Lonchura striata: one gene and its partner. The main gene of each other region encodes a partner of the protein of the gene in region 2 in a complex. Links are inferred from orthologs where the notes say so. Each region holds a gene or a part of one and is shown on either strand. Other genes may lie near its edges.

Region 1 (9,788 bases), on a different chromosome or scaffold from region 2:
CGAAAATGGAAGCGAGAGCCTCCTGGAGCTCTGGGATGTTTCGGCACGGCAGACATGGAATGATTTCTGGTTCAGGCTCGCGGGATGCGGATTACCCGGTGTTACCATTGGTAACCAGCGGGTCCCGGGTGGCAGCACGGCCGTGAATGACCCCGGGGTGCTGCAGTGAATGACCCCTGGGCTGCAGTGAATGACCCGGGGTGCTGCAGTGAATGACCCGGGGTGCTGCAGTGAATGACCCCTGGGCTGCAGTGAATGACCCGGGGTGCTGCAGTGAATGACCCCGGGGTGCTGCAGTGAATGACCCGGGGTGCTGCAGTGAATGACCCCGGGGTGCTGCAGTGGATGACCCCGGGGTGCTGCAGTGAATAACCCGGGGTGATGCAGTGGATGACCCCGGGGTGCTGCAGTGAATGACCCCGGGGTGATGCAGTGGATGACCCGGGGTGCTGCAGTGAATGACCCGGGGTGCTGCAGTGAATGACCCGGGGTGCTGCAGTGGGTGAGCCCTGGGCTGCAGTGAATGACCCCGGGGTGCTGCAGTGAATGACCCCGGGGTGCTGCAGTGAATGACCCCGGGGTGCTGCAGTGAATGACCCGGGGTGATGCAGTGAATGACCCGGGGTGATGCAGTGAATGACCCCGGGGTGCTGCAGTGAATGACCCCGGGGTGCTGCAGTGAATGACCCCGGGGTGCTGCAGTGAATGACCCCGGGGTGCTGCAGTGAATAACCCGGGGCTCGGCAGTGAATGACCCGGGACTCGGCAGTGGATGAGCCCTGGGCAGCAGCTCCGGGCAGCTCCGGGCAGCTCGGCTGTGCCTGCGGGGAGCGGGGCCCAGCCCTCCCGGGGAGGACGCTGCCTTTCCACGGGGGCCTGCGGAACGCGGCCCGGCCCCTGCCCCTCTGCTGCGGCCCTCCTTCCAGCACAGCGGCCAGAGGCTGCAATTGTGCTCTCCCTCCCCGCGTGGAAGCGTGTCAGGGCTGCTGACAGATGGCTCGGCTGCCCGTGCCTGGTGATTACCGAGCCTCTATTGCCTTTGCAAGGCGAATCCCCACTTGAAGGTATTTGGTAACGAATTTCGCGGTGTTTGCACGTCCCGGGAAGCGCTCTCGGCGCTCGGCTGCTGATCTACGGCGCCAGAGGCGCCGCGTCCTCCGGGCACGGGCACGGCGCTTTCGGCAGTCTGTGCTGCCACCTAGCCAGGCCCGGCCCGCCGAGCTCAGCCCCGCTCGCTCCGCAGCTCCCGGGGAAACGGGGAAATTGTCCCGGTTGATCCCCGGCTCCGAGCACAGCCCCGGCCCAGGCGGGCGCTCCCGCGGCGGCCGCAGCCCGGCGCTCCTTCCCCCGCGCGGATCTACTTACGGTAGAAGACATATTCCGTGTAGCTGGACCAGACCTTGTCGTCTGTGTACTGGTTGACGAAGGAAGCCGTCACCGAGGAGTTACAGGCCACCATGTGGAATCCACACTCGGATAACATGTCAAAAGCCCTCTCCAGGTGCTTGAACTTGAGATAAAACCTGGAGGTGTACCTTTCTGGAGCCCTGTCCGGGTCTCTGCTTTCATTCAAACTTTCTCCAAAAACCTCTTTGACCAAAGAAATCCTTCCACAAACCAAAATCCTCGGGACCCTCCTGAATTTGGCATCTGCTTGGCTCTCCCTGCCGATGGTGCAGGAGCCGCGGTAGCCGATGGTGATGAATCCCCACTTGCGGTCCGGCGGCAGGAGTGACGAGGGGGGGCATATTCTGGTGTCACTGCCCTGGGACACCTCTTCGTAGTCGCTGTGGCAATAATCGTCGGGGCTTTGCTTGCTGTCGTCGGGAGTCAGGAGCTTGACCAAGTCCGGGAGCTGGAAGTACTCAGCCTCCCTCTTGAGCCTCCCCCTCTCTGGGAAGTGGTCGGGCAGAACCACTTGCTTGTCCCTGAGATAGTCCAGAATATAGCGGAAAAGGAAACCATCTCTGTCGATGAAGAATCTCCCCTTGGAGTCCTTGGCCAGATCGTTGGCTGTGTCTCTCTTTGGGGTGAACATTTTCCAGAGCAGGGAGTGAGGGGTGCCAACCAAGGTGGAGTGGCGAGTGAAGTAAACCTGGCCGCCCACGTTGAGCTCCACCACCTCGGGGAAGGAGTGCAGCCCCGTCCCCTGCTCCCGAGCAGGGAGGTAAGTCCTGCAGTTGCCACTTAGAGCCATTGTAGTTTAAACTGGAAACCAGCAGCACGGAGAAGCAGGACAATCAATCACATCGGAGGTTAGAATAAAGCTCCCAACATTAAGAAGGAACAAGGGGGAAACGAGAAGCGAGAAAACAAAAGTAGCCAAAAGGATTGTTAAAAAAAAAAAAAATCTGAATAGTCCATGAGTGACAGTGTGGCAGAAGTGGTTTATACACTGAGCCACGGAGGCTGGAGGCTGGAGAGCAATCACCTCATGACATGCAATCACATCATCAGCTCTTCCAACAAAGCCATCAAAATCAAGGTCAAGCCAAGTCTGTGGTCATTCACAGGTCTGTGAAAAGGGAAAACAAAACAAGGCTCAAATTACTCTTCTAAGCATCACAGCTGCAGCAACAGAGAAAAGCAGAGCAGCTCGTAGAGCCAAGCTAAATCTGTTAAATAGGTCTCTTTTTTTTTGGCAAGTTCTACGCTTCTATTTCACAAGTATTCATCAATGGAAGGGCTACATATGACTCCACCGTTTAAAAGAAACTTCATACTTCATCTTTAAAGAAACATCTAAATTAGACATGCACATGAGGGAACAAGAACGGGGACTCTTACCTTGGTAACAATTCATGCATAGCTCTTGTAAAGAAAACCAAAATGTCAAGACACTCAGAACACACATACAGGCACACAGGGTCCGGGTAGTGTGAATCCGATCCAAGCAAGGGACAGCAAAGGCAACAGAAGTGCTCTTAGCAGCATCCACGGAGGTCTCGAGTGTAAAACCGAGTCACAGGGAAGTTAACTGTGGCGAGTGACGAGGAAAGCAGTACATACAGCACGGCGGAAGAAAATAATTAAAACAAACAACTAAAAGAATAAATAAAATAATTCCCGAGTGGATGCCCCGGGCCGGGGCAGCGGGAGGGCAGCGGGGCGCGTCCGCCGGCCCCGATGACTTGCAGAAAGCCGTCAGCCCGCGCTAGGCACTGCCGGGCTCCGGCGGCTCCCGCGGCGGCAGCGCGGCGGCGGCTCCCCCATGGCCCGGCGGGAGCGGCGGCCGCGCCGGGGCCGCGCTCCGCTCCGCCCGCTGCGCGCTCCGGGCTCGCTCAGCGGCGCGGGGCCGGCGGCGCGGAGCGCGATGCCGATTGCATCATCTTAAAGGAGTCGGGCCGGGATGGGCGCCGCGTCCCGCGCCGGCACCGGGCAGCGCCGGGCGGCACCGGGCAGAGCCGGGCAGCGCCGGCGCCGGGCACAGGCGGGCGGCACCGGGCGGCACCGGGCAGAGCCGGTACCGGGCACAGGCGGGCGGCCCCGGGCGGCACCGGGCAGAGCCGGGCAGCGCCGGCGCCGGGCACAGGCGGGCGGCCCCGGGCGGCACCGGGCAGAGCCGGGCAGCGCCGGTACCGGGCGGCACCGAGCGGCCCCGGGCGGCCCCGGGCAGAGCCGGGCAGCGCCGGCGCCGGGCACAGGCGGGCGCGGCAGGACGCGCACAGCGCCGGGCAGCGCGGCAGCACCGCGGACAGCGGCAGCACCGCGGGCAGCGCCTCGCCGGGCCGGGCCGGGCCGGGCCGGCCGCCGCTCAGCGCCCGAGCTGCGCCGCAGTCCCTCCCGCTCCGTCCCTCGGCCGGCAGCGCCCGTCCCCTGCCCGCCCGCAACGTGCCTGTCCCGGCTCCGCGGCGTCCCCGCCGGCGATGCGGGCGGGCAGCGCTGCCCGGGGACTCCCGGCCGCGGCTGCCGGGCAGCACCGGGACGCGCTCCCGCCGCCGCCGCTCCTCATCTCCCCGGAGCCGGCAGGGAGGGGACCCGCGGGGCGCGGGAGGGAGGAGGAGGGACCGGGGGCGGCTCCGGCGGTGCGGAGGACCCGCTTTTACTCGTGGGTCTCTAACGGGGAGAGCCGCGGGCGCGCCGGCACCGCCACCTCGTGTCCGTCCCCGCCGCCCGGCCCAAAGCCAGAGGAGGAGCTGCGGGAGCGGCTCCCGAGCACCCCGCACTGCCGGGCATCCGGGGAACGGGGCAGCACAGCCCCGTGCCAGCTCCCACCGCTTCTGGGCAAAAACACTCTTCTCGGAATGGTACCATAGGAGAAAAGAAAGCCTTTCCCTAGGAAAGCTTTAGAGTGAAGTCTGTGTCTGATGGAGTCACCATGCAGGGGTAGATTTTGCTGACTGCACTTAAGTTCACAGATTCACGGAATATTCTGAGTTGGAAGGGTCAAGGATCATGGAGCCCAGCTCTTAAGTAAATCCACACGGGAATTGAATCCACAACCTTGCTGTATTAGCACCAGCTGAGGCTGCAGATACTTCAGTGAGAGTCTTCTGAAAACATGGCTGTAATTTAAAACGAAATAGCCAAAAAGAATAATTTTCAAGGCTAAGACAGAAAATCACTACTTATGTGCCTACAGACTTTTCAAATTAAGTCTGAGAACTGAACAGTTAATCAAACCCTTGATTTTTACCTTAATTCATTCATTCTGAAGCAACTGCTGCACTCCTGAGCAGAGCCTGTCTCTCACCTCAGGATCCTTATTTTCAAACCAGCAGAATCTGGTGCCACTACAGGGTGTGCTGGTTGTGCCTCAGAAAAGCCCAAGCCCTGTGTCCTGCCCTTGTGCCTCAGCAGAGCAGCTGAAGCAGCGCAGGTCAAGTGCTCCATAACCCCTGCACAGAGGATTTAAAGGTGGCATGTGAGATCATGTTCACTTAAATGTCTTCATTACCTTTTTAAGAGCCTGGCGCAGTCGGTGCAGACAGGATTTAACACCTGCATGACCAGCCAGAGGGAATGACAGATGCCTCTGGCAGTGACAGTGCTGTCCCAGTTAAAAGCAGGGAGAATTGCATCAGCTTTCGCAAATATTTCAGTTGTCCATGCTAGTTCATACGCAGTTTCAATCTAATTAAAATCTATTTTCATAAAGGCAGGGCTTGGAGAATGCATTCCCTGTCCCCAGTAAGAGCTGGCGGTGTCCAAACCAGCACGGAAGCGTTTGTGATGTCCCTGTGACAGCACCAAAGGCTGAGGCTGGGGTGGAGCTGAGCCCGGCGCTGCTGGGCACCACTCGAGTGGGATGTGCAGGTGCTCGGTGAGAGGGGACAGGAGTCACCCACACCTGGGGCTCCTGGCAAGCTCTAATGAGCATCAGGCACGGACTCCCTGTGATTAGCCAGTACAGACAGCTCTAAGCTCGAAGTCTTTTTGAAACATTATCATCAGAATTGCTCTTTGAAAATAACAAAAACCATAGAATTTTAATCACAACAGCTTTAGAAATGCAACTGCACTTTTCAAATAGCAATGAAAGCAATTCAGCACCTGCTTTTATTTCTTCACACGGGGACATTCCAATCATTTCACTGTAACACAATTTCCTTTGATGAGATGACTTCAGGAGTAAAAGCATCACGTAATGCTCCCCAGCTAAATACAAGCCATGGACCAAATGCATCAAAATGCAGCCTGAGAGAGTGAAACTTTAAAATCTGGGCTAAATACATGATGACCTAAATGTAAAATATGTGTCAGGACCACACCGAGGAGCAGCTACAGTTCTGATGGAAGAGGAAAGCAGTATCCATCAAAGGGAGGATGAAGCACTTCTCACTTCTGACACATGCCTTCATAACTCCCAGCACAGGCAAGGGAAAATTTAGCCTGAGCTTAAAGTGTATGCTCCAAAAGTCCCAGCATAGCTGTGCTGGAAGCCAGTCCATGAAGGCAGTGACATCATTCACAGGTTTGAGGTCATTCCTTATGACAAAGTGCTAAATTGGCATTTCAGGAAATCATGGAACAAGTGACTTTATGGAATGTGGTGGGTGTTAGAAATAGGTGTCGGAAAAGCAGCAGCAATGAGTGCTAGAAAGGAAGGGCAGCGGTACCTGGGCTGGAGTAGCAGTGTGTGTGTGTTTGTGTGCATCACCTCCCATCTCCAGAGGAAACACACAGGCTGGAAATTCCAATCAAGTCGCCCACACGTAGTGAGAAACATGGAAGCTGTTTATCAGCAACAACACAAGAGCTTTGGGGTGACTGGAGAAGGAGCAATTGAAAGAAGAAGAAGCTGAAGTAGTAATTCTGAGGAAAAAATACATCCAAGCTGGATTTTGGACAGAAGATTCTACCTAAAAAGCCACATGAGAACTTTCATCACTCTGTGTGATCTTTACACACAATAGTTAAAATAAAAAAGGAAGAAAGAAGAACAGCACTTCCAGTTCCAGACTGGCACTTTGATTCAGGAACGACTTCAAGGTGCCACCTAAGGATGGATGAACCGTCCTTCAGCCCTGTTCCCTGTAACATTCTGTGCTTCTCAGCAGGCTGTGTCTGAGCCCTGAGCCCAGCAGCGTTTCCCAGGGCAGAACTCCATCAAGGCAGCGGCAAGAGGGCAGTTTCTGAGAATGGTGCCATGGCAGAGCAATAAGTGTCTGCACTGGGCCTGTCAGAGGGCCAGCGGTTTCCCCGAGAGGCAGAAAGGGTGTCCTGCACTGGAGCTCCCTGACAGGACTGCCAGCCCAGCCTCGGGCCACACAGAGAACAGAGCCTGGAGGAACCCATCCCAGACTCCTGCGAGTTCCAGCCCTCTAACCCAGGCTCCTCTCCAGCAGGGCAGGATCCTCCCCATCACCCAGAGACTGAGCTCCCTGCAAGGAGAGCCAGGCAAGAACAAGCTAAATCAGAGATTAGCCCCTGATCCAGCAGTGTGAATTACACACAGTGAAATTCTCATCTGCTCAAATCCAGCGGTACGTGCGAATGGGAAGCCCTAACAAATCTTTCACTTTGAAGAAAAAGCATAAAGCAGCACTAAATGGCTGAGTGTCCCTGAGAAAGGATCTTCCAGCAAAGAGCGTGAGTGCCATGAAGGCGGGTTTATTCACAGAGCAAAGCATTACACAGATTTGCCCTTGATCTTTTATTCATAACTCAAGTGCATAATGTATTTTCATCCCAAACAAGCAAAGGGGAAGAGCAGCTTTCCCAGCTGCTCAGGCTGTGAGACAGGCTGGGAGCAAGGCTCAGATGGAGACACGACATGGCTTTTTGTCATCGTGTACCACACAGAGAGGGGTCACAGCTCCTGCTCAGAATCCCTCTGCTCCTTCTGGGGAGCACCAGACCCCCAGCACACGCACAGCACAAGGTCTGAGCCTTCCAAAAGCTGACAGTGCGAGGGAATCATGTTCCAGTGATCTCCAAATCCATCACTGCACATCAGGGAACATTCTGGAGAATAATTGATATATGTGTGCTGACAACTCCTTTGGAATGCCATGGCCACTGTTCAACAAAGCAATCTGCTACACAAACAGCCCTGACCCTGCAAGAGAGCCAGCATGTGCAGGCAGGCAGAGACCTCACGGACACATTGGCAACCAAGGACTAAAATCAATCAAAAATCACAGTTTTCAGCCTCCCCTCTGCAAGGCCCTTTCGAGTTCTGCCATAAGAAGGCCTGTTTCAGCAGACATCTTCCTCCTCCCCCTTTCCCCATCCTCCCCATCCTCCACAGTTCTTTGAATAATACTTTTATTCTCAGTCTGATTCAAATTATTCTGTTATCAACACTGGTGTAATTAAAGTGTGTTTTTAAACATTACAGCTAAAACAAACTTTGGTAGCACTATCATGATACCAGCACTGTGTAACCCATGTACTACACGAGTACTTTAATGTGTGCTTTTACTCTTCCCAGGTTGCAGCCATTTCAAGGTCTCTTGCAAATTCAAATTCCCTGTCCAGGTGGTGTTCTAGGCCAGGTGGGGCCTGGAGCAATCTGGGCTGTGGATGGGATGAGTTTTAAGGTCCTTTCCACCCCAAAGTAGAGTGGGATTCTGGCACTGTGTGGTAGCCCCCAGTGCAGCTGGAGCTGGTGCCCAGCAAAGGGACGGTGCTGGTGTTTGGTGTTTGGTGTTTGAAGTTTGGTGTTTGGTGTTTGGTGTTTGGTGTTTGGTGCTTGGTGCTTGGTGTTTGGTGTTTGGTGTTTGGTGTTTGGTGTTTGGTGCTTGGTGCTTGGTGTTTGGTGTTTGGTGTTTGGTGTTTGGTGCTTGGTGCTTGGTGTTTGGTGTTTGATGTTTGGTGTTTGGTGCTTGGTGTTTGGTGCCTCCAGGCTGCAGCTCCAGGCTGTCCATGCACTGCCCTTCCCAAGGCATTGGGAAGGAGCAGCTGTGCAGCTGCAGTGCCCGCGCACCCCTAGAGCCCCCGGGCTGTGCAGAGCAGCCTGTCCCGCAGGGCTGGCAGCCCATCCTGAGTGCCGACAGCAGTGCTGAGATGCCCGCTGCAGGGACAGCTCCTCAGCGAAAGCTCCACCTAAGCCGCCAGGAAATCCTACCAGTCTAAGCAAAGCCAGAGAGATTCCTCGGCCAAGAGCGTTTCCCCGGCAGGTCCCAATTACACAGGCCAGTGCCTGGGCTGGGTCTCATTTCCCTGCCCAGTGAGCCGCAGCGAGTCGCACAGCTCAGCCCGGGGCACTAAGCCGCAGCCATCAGAGGCCCCCGCACATCGTGCAGGTCTTGCATGAACGCTGGCACCCCCTCAGCCTCCAAACACTAACTCTCCTGCAGCGCAAATCTGCAGGAAGCAGCTCACGGCACAGTTACTGATCTGTTTTCCATGGCTGGAACTCTCCATTCAGCTCTACAGTGACACATTTCCAGAGCCTGCTCTCGGCAGTGCCACGGACTCCGCACCATCAGCTCTGCTTTGCAGCGAGGCTTGGAACAGGGCTGCAATTTAAATGCAGTCATTTCACCAGCACAATATTGCACATGCAGGTTTGTAACAATATTACTGTAACTGCATCCTGAGCCAAAATGAATTCAAAAAACCAAAGTGTGAAAAATGCATATTATATGGCTCTATGCAGATAGCTACTATTTGTATTATGTTATATTGATCAGTTATGCTTTTGTAGTTAAAATGAGGTTTTAGTAGTTAAAATAGAGACTGTGTATGTGGGGGGAGGTTTTTTTTTAGGAATGAGATACTTGCTTCGAGGAATACCTGAATCTTCCAGAAAGGAGGAATTTATGGCTTTCTTATCAGAAGAAGCTAATTCCTTCAGGCCTTGCTCAGACTCGAAGACACCATGGGGATTAATGGAAATAGTTGACATACAAAAGACAGAGTTTTTGTTTTAAATAGAATGTATGCATAACCATGAAGGATATATGAATATGCAACAAGTGTATTGTTTTAAGGGTGATTCTCTTGTTCACAAGGGATGCTTTTTGTGACTTAGTGTCCGAGAGCATCCGGACATCCAAAACTCTTTGCGTTTTATTGTCTTGTAATTGTCCTAACTCTAAATTTTATTACTCTAATTGTATTACTGTTTTTATAACCATTTTATTATTATTATTAAACTTTTAAAATTTTTAAAAACCAAGCGATTGGCGTTTTTCACAAAAGGAAAAACACACACATACTTAAACCAGGAGCATGGCCTGTGTAATCTCGTGTGCCCCCACGGCTGGGGCTCGGCTCCAGGAGGCTGCCAGAGCTCGGAGTGCATCGTGCACGGGATGGAAACTGGTTCTGGTGTAGTTGTGAACCTCACACCCCTTCAGCAAGCTGTAAAACAAGGACGAAGCAGCGGTCCTGACCCA
Region 2 (9,477 bases):
CATTCTCTCTTTCAAGAGCCAACAATGTCACAAGCACCACCTGTGAAGCCCTGAGAGGGAGAACTACTCCCTGGTCTCTGATTATGCAATGATAAGGATCCAGGCCCTTCAGGCATAGCTATTTATTGGCAGTCTCAGAAAATAGGCTGAGAATCAAGTGGGCATGATGAGCCAGCTACCCTCCTGCTTATCGTAAGTGCACTGAAGGAAAAGGGTAATGTCTGAACCGACTGAAAAAGTTTGTGCTGCCATTAGGTATTTAATGGCTATTCCAGGCATTCGTCCATTCTGTTGGGTGCAGTCAATCTAGCACTCTTTATGGACACTAACTTATTTACTTGTCACTATTAAGCATGCAATAATGACCCAACTGTACTCTAAACATGTACGGTCACCTGAATTAGCATTCCATAACCATGCATTTATTAATTTCTTAAAAGCATTTAAAGCAACACAGCAAGGTAGCAACATGACCCTGATTTCTTATGTCCCTGGAGTACTAACAGTAAAATTTTAAAGAAACTGATACTCATTCCAGAACAAATAGGGTAATTTTTTTCCTGAATATTTTTATGATAACTACCTAGTTCAGAACCCAAAATCTCTATGAAGAGTGCCACAATATTTTGACTGCAATAAAGTGCAGCACCTTCTTTATTAAGATATTACTGTAAGAAGAAGGGACATCCTGCCTAGGCTTCTCTAATTCCTATGCCTATTTTTTTAATAATTCTATCCACAGGAAAAACTAATATAGATTAACGTAATGAAAACAGGATTAGGAAACCTGTGAATTTTTTCCTGACATGCATCTCACTTTATGAGACAGGTAATGCCATTCAGAAAATCCCCCATAATTCTTTTCATTACAATTGCAGAGTTCCCTGAGATTCATCTTTTTAAAGAAACAAGCAGCTACTCTAGGTTGATCTTGCCTGTATTCCCTGTCAGTATCTAGTCTTGTTCACACAACACAACAGGATGGCAGCCTGCTCCTTCCTAAGTGACATCTTCAGCAGTATTGCCCTCCATGCATTTCTGCTCAGTGGTTGGTGTTTTTTTTTGTTTTTTGTTTTTTGTTTTTTTTAACACTATGACAAATTTATGTCAATAAAAAGCAGCCACCCTGGAAGGAGAGGCCTTTGGTAGTCATTTTAGGGACGGAAACACTGTCACGATACAGTACAGCCTGTCATTGCTGCTCTCAGTTTGTTCCCCCCGGACCTGAGAAACCTAAAGGGAGCACAGGGGCTTCCTTAAATTACAGCCGGCAAGATTTTCAGCAGTCACTTGCTTTACCGGGGGTTGTCTTGGAAGCGAACCCCGACCGCCAGCATTACACAAGAAGTGACTGCCATCTTCAGGGGAGCCCCGGTACCGGACCCGCGCCTATCCTCCGCAAACACACAGGTACTGAAGTTGTGACAAAAACCAAAGGCAGCTGCGGGCGGGCGGTAGTGGCAACCAGCTCCACAAAGCCCTCGCCCCGCTCCCTGCCTCTCGCTCCCAGGTAAAGGGAGCGTGTTTCCTCGCTCAGCAGGGCTCCCCGCTCTCCCAGCGCTGACGGCCGGCCGCTGGCAGCGCTCCGGAACGGGGGCAGGCATCCCGCCGCACTGGCAGCGCTCCGCAGGAACCGGCACTGCAAATTTAGTTCTTCCCGAGAAGCGAGCGCCTCCGCGCCCCGCCGCCCGCCTGCCACGCACCCCCGGACGAGCGCTCAGCCGCTCCCGCCGGAGGGCAGGGACGGGGGGAATCTCGGCGAACCCCTGCGAAGCCTCCCCTCCTCCTCCTCAAGCTACGGCTGCGACCGCTGCCCTCCGCGTCCCGTCGCCGCATGGGATAAGCCGGGCTGGCGGCGTGAGCCCGTTGGCGGAGCGGGGGAGCGGAGCGCCCGGTGTGCATCTGTTGCTGAGCGGGTGGCGGCTGGCACAGGGATGCGGCCGCGGCTTCGCTGGGCGAGGCAGCTTTCCTCCCACCGGTGTACGTGCGTGCCAAGGGCAGCGGATCCCAGCCACCGCCACCGACAAGAGCCCCCGCCGCCCGGGCACCCGTCCGGGCCCACCCCCGCGCTGCAGGCGACTCCCGGACAGGGGCGCTTCTGGGGCGGTGGGGCGAGCCCCAGCTGCCGGGGCAGCCGCTCCTGGTAATACCGGGCGGGCAGGATTCGGCCCGCCGGCTCCACGTCCTCCCCCTCCGCCGCCGGTCCCTGCACATCTGCCGGCAGCCCGCGGGGCCGGGCGGGCAAGGCGGCTCGGAGGCGGCGCGCACGGCCCCGCCGGCAGCCGCAGCCCCGGCCCGGGCGTCCGCGCTGCCCTTGCGCCCCTGCACCCGCAGCGCCCCGGGACTGGGCGGCGGCGCCTCCCCCTGCGCCCGGCGGCGCGGGGCCCGCGGCGGTCCCTACCTCCGTGTCGTAGACCCGCAGGTCCAGGGAATAGGGGTTGAGCAGGGATTCGTTGCGGATCTGATCCATGGCCAGATACACGGCGGGTAGCACTCCCTGGGTGATCCTGCTCTCCTCCTCGGACTGGTTGACCGGCATCAAGCCCATGATGGAGATCGGCGTGGTGGCGTTGGGGGGCAGCCCGGCCGTCCCCCGGGAGCTGCCCCGCGACCAGCCCCAGCCCGGCGGCGCCCAGCCCAGGCACAGGAGCAGCAGTAGCATGGCAGGGTTGGAGGTGGCAGCGGCCGGTCTCCGCGGAGAGGGATGCATGCTGCTGGATGGGGAGGAGGAGGAGGAGGACTGAGGGTGGGGGAACGGGCTGAGCGGCGGAAGAGAGCCGAGCCCCTCTCAGTCTGGGCGCATCCCCCGGCGGCAGAAGCCAAGGCGGGAGGGAAAGATCTGCCTGTCTCCTCTTCCTCGGGAGCCTCGGGGTCTCCTCTCTCTTCCCCCCCCCCCCTCCCCTCCCCTGGCAATAATCCTTCTGGCAATGGCGCCTACTCCTTCCCAGGTCTGCCAGCTGCAACCACCAGGAGCAATAAATAAATAAATAACCACCACCACGCACACACAGACACTCTCCTCACCACCCTCCTCCGCTCTCCCCGGCGGCACAGCAAGGGAGCGGGACCTGCCTCTGCCTCCTCGGCAGCTCTCCACCCTCTCCGCTCAGGGAGGGACAGCACCTCTCAGGCGCGGGGGGGGTAGCCGAGCAGCCCTCATTGAACACTTCCTTCCTTCCCCCTCCTCCTCCTCCTCCTCCAAAAGGGTGAAAAGGGAAAAAAGGGATGCTCCGGCAGAAAACGCCGAAGAGGAAAAAGCCCCCCCTCTAGAGCCGGGGAGGCGGAGAAGGGGAGCGGTGCCGAGCCGGGCGGGGGTGCTAATGCCGCATTCCGCGGGAGCCGGGGCAGCCCCCGCCGCGGGAGCGAGGTGCCGCCTGCGCCCTTCCTGCGGGTCGGGCAAAGCCGCCGGGCAGGATGCGCGGCCGCGGGCAGCGCAAAGTGTGCGGCGGCGGCGGGGGCCGGACCGCGCTCCCTCTTCACGGCATCAGCGTTCGCTGCCTGTGGGTCGGGCACCTTCTCCAGGTGGAGCTGCCAAGGCGGGCGCGGGTGGGCGCGGGGAGGTGCGAGCTGCGGCCGCTGCCCATCGGCGCTGTCCCCACGCGCGACCCGCCCGGCACACGCACGGAGCCCGCTGGCAGGGCGGCCCGGCGCGGGCGGGCTCCGCGCACTCTCCCCGCCCTCCCCCGCGCACACGCGGCACGCAAACACGCTCCCACTCGGGCTCGGCACCCCGCACACGCACACGCGCAGCCAGCCCGGGCCACGGCAGCTCTGCGGCACGCAGGAGCGGGGCGTTTCGCTAGAGCAGAAGTCGTGGGGTTTTGGTGGGTTTTTTTGGTGGTTTTTTTTGGGCTTTTTTTTTTTTTAAACCGGTTTCTTTTCCCCTCAGAACTGGCGGGTTTTTGGAGACCCTGACACTGCTCAAATTACAAAAAACAAAAACAAATAAAAAAAAATAAGGTTGCGGCAGGACTCTGAGCCTCCCCGAGGGCTGTCGCAACCCTGTGAATAGTCTGTGGGAAGCGAGCCCTTTCCACACATGTTCTCCCAAGTAATTGTCACCACATCACAGTGGCTGTGGGGCATAGCCCATAGACAGCCCATGGCTTTTTGCGTTGCTCCCAGGCTATCCTCCCATCCCAGGGAACACGTTCACACTGCCCACCCACGTCCGTGGTCTGCAGAGTCCCAGAGCAGCAATTCACAGATCTGTTTCATCTCAGGTAGATCCCATACCTGTATGGGTACAGGCAAAATGAAAAACTTTTCTTAACCCTGCCTTAGGCACCTCACTTTTTATACATATTCATAAATTTCCTGAGGTCACTCCAAGCAAGCCTTTGAAGATCAACCTAATACATCTAGTTTATGTTACACTGCAATGGCAGCATGTCTGCAATAAATTGGAAAGAATTTTCATGGATTAATATATTCTAAGATTGTAAGATTTGACCTTGGGCCAAAAGCCCTCAACCAGTAATTTCATAACATTTGTTGCGTTACAGCCTTTCACGCAGAATGACATCCAGCAGTGTTGACTTTAAGATATCAGTAATGAAGAGTCCATCACTTCTCTTGATAAATCATTTCAATTATTAATTAGTTTGCTAAAAGGTGTATTTCATATTCCGTATCAATTTGTCTTATTCCAACTTCCAGCCACCAGTTCTCATCATACCTTTATTGGCTTAAGGGAATGTAGTGTCAGGGATCTTCTCCCACCCACAGGGGCTAAGATTAATCACATCTTGCTTTTGTAAAAAACAAGGCCAACTTTCCCTCACCTCAAGAATCATTCCTGGAGGCACTTCCAATGCACCTCTCCTTTTTCCACATGATGTTGAACTGGCCCTTCTAACCCTGTGACCTGCCTGCACTGGGCCAGAAGCTGCAACCTCAGCACCTCCCTCAGTACCAGCCGGTTCCATAGGCTGGGCAGGTTGGCAGATTGAGAAACCTAATCCCTACAGGAAGACCAGGTAGTGTGTTGTCCTTGTAGGAATGTCTCTTTATGAAATCATCTGCACCATGTTTTTGATGCCTCAGATTTTAGCTTTTGTATTTTCCAGATTTTGTACTGCTTTAGTGTGTAGTTCTGAGCTTCATATTGGGGAATAGTAAGCTCTCCTCAGAGTAGGTAAAAAAAAATAATCCTTTTCTCTCTGGGGACCAAGGACAAATGATCCAAATTTCAGTCCCAAAAGCATAAACAACAGTGGACTGAAGAGAGAAAAACAAGAAGGATATGACTTCGTAATCTAAAGCCGTAATTGGACAATAAACTCCAATAAGATAATGGATCCGAATTTATAAAAGTGAGAGACATCCATTGTGTGATCATTTTGGTTCATCTTGGGTGTAGCCCTGGCTGGGCTCTTGTACTGCCCAAGGTGTATCTATTGAGACCTTCTAATAAATACCTACTTTATTATTTAACTCTCTCTAGTCTCTGTTCCAGGTCAGCCTTCAAAGACATCAGTTTCTGGTGACCCAGGTGGGACAGAAGGCATCTGGAAAACCCCCTGGACCAGAGCCAGACGAACATCCAGCTCTTGCCCCCTCTGCCCCCAATTCCTGCTGGCACTGCCTAAAAGCATCACCTACCTCCTTACTCCTGTGCATTTGGTTTTGCACTAGAATAAATCAAACCATGACCTTTACTTGTACAAGTGATTTGGCCAGCAGTTTGTCACCTGCAAACTTTCCAGCAACTCATTTTCTTCCAGAAAATTGATTATCATAACACCAAGAACATTCCTAGGATGCCAACAGAAATAGGTGCCATATTGATTTTGTGTAATGCTATTTTTAACCAGAATATCATATGCGAAATGATGTTTTGCCATTCTCAACTTGCTATGCAAGTTTGTCAAAATTAGTTTCACAGAAAATCTTTCTTCACTGCTTGTATACTGTATCATTCTGTGATTTTCACCAGTACTTGGCTACCAGTACTACAGCTACTTGGATCAATTTGATCATTTTACAATATTGGCAGTTTATTAGCACACACACTCACATTGTCTCTGGACTGTCATCATCTTTCCAAGAGCTGGGGTTGTTTTGGAAGCAATTTCTCTTTTTGAGAACTCAGTCTTTATGAAAGAAAGCTTGAGGCCAGGTTGTGTGTTACAACAGAATTAGTACCTTGGACATTATTAGCAACCACCTGACATCCTTCTTTACTACTGCTGCAGTAGCAAATGTCCTTTTGTTAGCTGAAGATTGAAATGCATCTCCTTGCTTTTCCCAGTACAGGTCAGAAACTTCACTGAGTGTGAAGTTCAAGGTTTGCCCTCATGTGGGAGGCAGAGACCAGCTGACACTGGTGTCCCTGCAGTGCACAGGGAAGGCCAGTGCTGGAGAGGTAGGGCAAAGAAATGCATCTAGGAGAGGTCTGCAGAGGTCTGGAGTATGGCTGGATATCGTTTAAACCAAGCAAAGCTGCACTTCAAATTACAGTATTTAACAAAGTGGTTCTTCTGACTTTAATCTGTTTGTTGCTGCATTCCCTGTCAGTAAAACAGGATGCTCTTCGTTAATGGTAAAAAAAAGATAAAACAAAACAAAAACAAACAAACAAAAAAAACCCTCACACTAAGAAAATAACTTTTATTTTTCAGTTTAGGGATTGGTTATGGGAATGCAAATAAGACTATATTGAACAATGAGGATTAGTTAAAGTAAGCCTCTCAAAATTCTTCCTGTGTATCAGTGAGGCATGAAAATGACAGTTTCTCCACCTTTTGTAAAAAGCATCAAAACCCCCCAACAAAAACAAACAAAAACAAACAAAAAACCCCAAGCACCTCCCATTCCCCCCACAAAAACAGTGGATGTATTGTAAGAAAATAATGTAATTAAAAATCATAGTGTAATAGACACACTGAAGCCAACTTCTGATTTCACAAAAACCTTTATTTCTGGCACCTAAGTAATTTGCAAGGAAGTTTCACATTCTTCACATATGTTTTCAGCATGATTCTCTGCTACAGTTATATTTTGTAAAGCCTGCTTCTTTCCAATTCTCAGCACTGAGAAATTTCTTCTTTCTTAGGTACTATGCTGCATTTATGAATAACAGATGCCCAGGTAACAGCTCATTTTAAATAAAAGTAGGCCTAAAGGAGAATTGCTCCAAAATGCTTATTAAATATTGTGTCAGACACAGGCACTGGCTCAGCTGCCTTTTTTTTCCCTCTTAGAAATACCCAGAACGTTTTGCTACCATCGAACTGGTAAAATAAATTCCCTAGGATGAAATCCTCTGAAGCAGCACACATTCTTTATCTGTTAGGCAAAAAGGCATTATATTCTCATTTGGTGGTCCACATCAGACACCCTCTGTTTATTCCTTGTTGATTAAAATATCAGTTCACAAGAACTGTAAAACCTCTTCACTCGAAAATCAAATGTCACTTTCTTCCTGGCATGTTACCCAGCCATTTCTGTGCTTCAATCATGTGAATCCTTCAACCATATTTCTGTAAAAACACTGTCAAATATCTTTCCGCTAATGAACACTTCCAATTTCTCAGTTACTTCTAAGTCTTCTCACAGCCTATGCACAATTAACAATTTTTTCTTTATATATTTATATTTGCTCATCAGAGTACCTAATTAACTTCACATTTAAGCATCTGTACTAGTATGACTCCCTTGACCACTTCTTCAGTTGCAAGTATCTTCAGACCATGGATAAAGTCAAGAAACTCAGAGAACTGATTTTCCATTAACACTAATAAATAAATTGCATCTGTTGCAAGTCCTCTCCTACTCTGGGAGATGGTTTGATGCTACACAAAATATGTCATGCAGCCCCTTAGGCCAGCAACTCACTTCCTGTATGTATTTTCCTGTATATTCATCTTAATACTTTTGGAGAGATCACTGAGAAAGTCCTGCCCTGTTTTTGTCTCCAGCCACCTTTGCAAATCCTGGAGCCATGCAATTCCTGTCAGTGCTGACAGGGACTGGTCTAATTAGGCTTTGTCTGTTCATAAAAATATCAGTGAATTGTGGAATTTAAAAAAATGAAAACTGTTAATCTAGGCATATTAATTTTAGCACTGCATGTACAGGCATAATGTTTTTCCTCTGTAAATGAGAAATGTAACAATACTGCAGTGCTCTTGCACCTCAGCAGAACAGGGGGAGCTTTCCCATCCACCTTTTCCCTCCCTCCCAAGGGCTTTCCCACCTACCTCAGCTAACTTCCTAGCCCAAAGTTCCATATTTGTTACAAGAGCATACAGCATTCTCAAACACCACCAAAAACCCTCCACAGCTGCAAGAGTATACACACAACTGCATGATCCTTACCCTACAGCCTCTCCAGACACCTTGATTGCTGTCTTTATATCAGGGTGTCAGGACACAGCTCAGCTTACTTAATCTCCAAATCTAAGGGCCTTAAGAGAGGCAAATGAAGTTAAAAGAGCATCAGATTTTAAATTACCAACCAAGCACTATCACTGTGTAAGTGCCGATGTTTTTATAAATAGGAAATAGGAGCACAATCTCATCAGTCCTGGTGTTATCATCCAACATGAATTTCCCCTTGCAGTGTATCTTACCACTTCCTATAAATATATCAAAAATTGAACACAGTTTTGAGTCTCTGTTTTCAACAGAGCCAGCAAGAAATACTATTTCCAATTTATGTTGACTGATGCATGTACAATGATGATTGTTGTTCCCAGGTATTTGTGCAAGCTCTAGTAATTCCCCAACATAATGGTTCAGACAAGGCCACACATACAGAGGTTTTAGTGGTTAATTTCTTAGAAGGAAGGTTCATGTACTGTCTTTTGTTGAAGTGAAAATCCAGTAAGTTTTAGCCCATGTTGAAGACTCATAATTTTTAAATGAAAGGAAATTAGTGAGTGAATAAATGAAAAAAAAATCTAAATCATTACCCAATAATTTCAAATAAATATGATAATTAGGTACCTGTCTATAGTCTGGATGGCTTTCTAAGAAAAGAAAAAAAAAACAAAAAAAAACATAAATACAGGCATAGAAGGACTAAGAAACAAGCATTAATTTGTGACTGAAATCCTCCAATTTTTCCATTTCTATAAGACATGCAGCCCCATCTCTGCTCAGGAGAAGTCCGAAGCTCACAGTCCATTCCTCGGCAGGTAACCCTGACCTCCTGCAAAAGGAAGTCTGGAAATGTTAAAGGAAGTCTGAAGATGTGCTTCATGACTCAGATGCTTGATGGAATCTTTCACCCTCCAAACCTGAAGCCAGGCATTAATACAACTCCAGTGAGCTGAGAAGAAGAAAAGGCTATCAAGGAATAAAAAATGATAAGTAGAAGGACTAAAAGGCCAACAGAGAGGGAGCAAGCTGGTGGCATTGCTAATGTTTGGTGTTTGCTTTTGAACTCAGCTGTGTTTGTCTAGCAAATATGCCAGCCAGGCTGGCAGGTTTGCTGGCATATATGAAAACATCATAGCTGCAGGAAGTCAA

Evidence for each region.
Region 1: the proteins of GABBR2 (region 2) and KCTD16 are in contact, whole or in part, in a crystal structure (PDB 6M8R), measured with the Homo sapiens proteins. The link is inferred for Lonchura striata from reciprocal best matches to the Homo sapiens genes GABBR2 and KCTD16. Residues at the interface, in NP_005449.5 of Homo sapiens: Ile882, Asn883, Ile888, Gln889, Arg891, Leu892, Ser893, Leu894, Gln895, Leu896, Pro897, Ile898, Leu899; in NP_001357415.1 of Homo sapiens: Asn30, Gly32, Gly33, Gln34, Val35, Tyr36, Asp64, Leu65, Ala66, Lys67, Asp68, Ser69, Arg72, Phe74, Gly79, Phe80, Arg83.

The regions. Positions count from the first base shown.
Region 1 is NC_134617.1:727,773-737,560, forward strand, and holds the start of KCTD16 (BTB/POZ domain-containing protein KCTD16), read right to left. Parts: upstream 3,943-9,788; 5' UTR 3,836-3,942; intron 3,198-3,835; exon of another isoform or gene 2,788-3,197; intron 2,516-2,787; 5' UTR 2,198-2,515; coding exon 1,366-2,197; intron 1-1,365. UniProt on the Homo sapiens protein: Auxiliary subunit of GABA-B receptors that determine the pharmacology and kinetics of the receptor response. Increases agonist potency and markedly alter the G-protein signaling of the receptors by accelerating onset and promoting desensitization.
Region 2 is NC_134603.1:62,278,915-62,288,391, forward strand, and holds the start of GABBR2 (gamma-aminobutyric acid type B receptor subunit 2), read right to left. Parts: upstream 3,608-9,477; 5' UTR 3,585-3,607; coding exon 3,514-3,584; intron 2,712-3,513; coding exon 2,402-2,711; intron 1-2,401. UniProt on the Homo sapiens protein: Component of a heterodimeric G-protein coupled receptor for GABA, formed by GABBR1 and GABBR2. Within the heterodimeric GABA receptor, only GABBR1 seems to bind agonists, while GABBR2 mediates coupling to G proteins.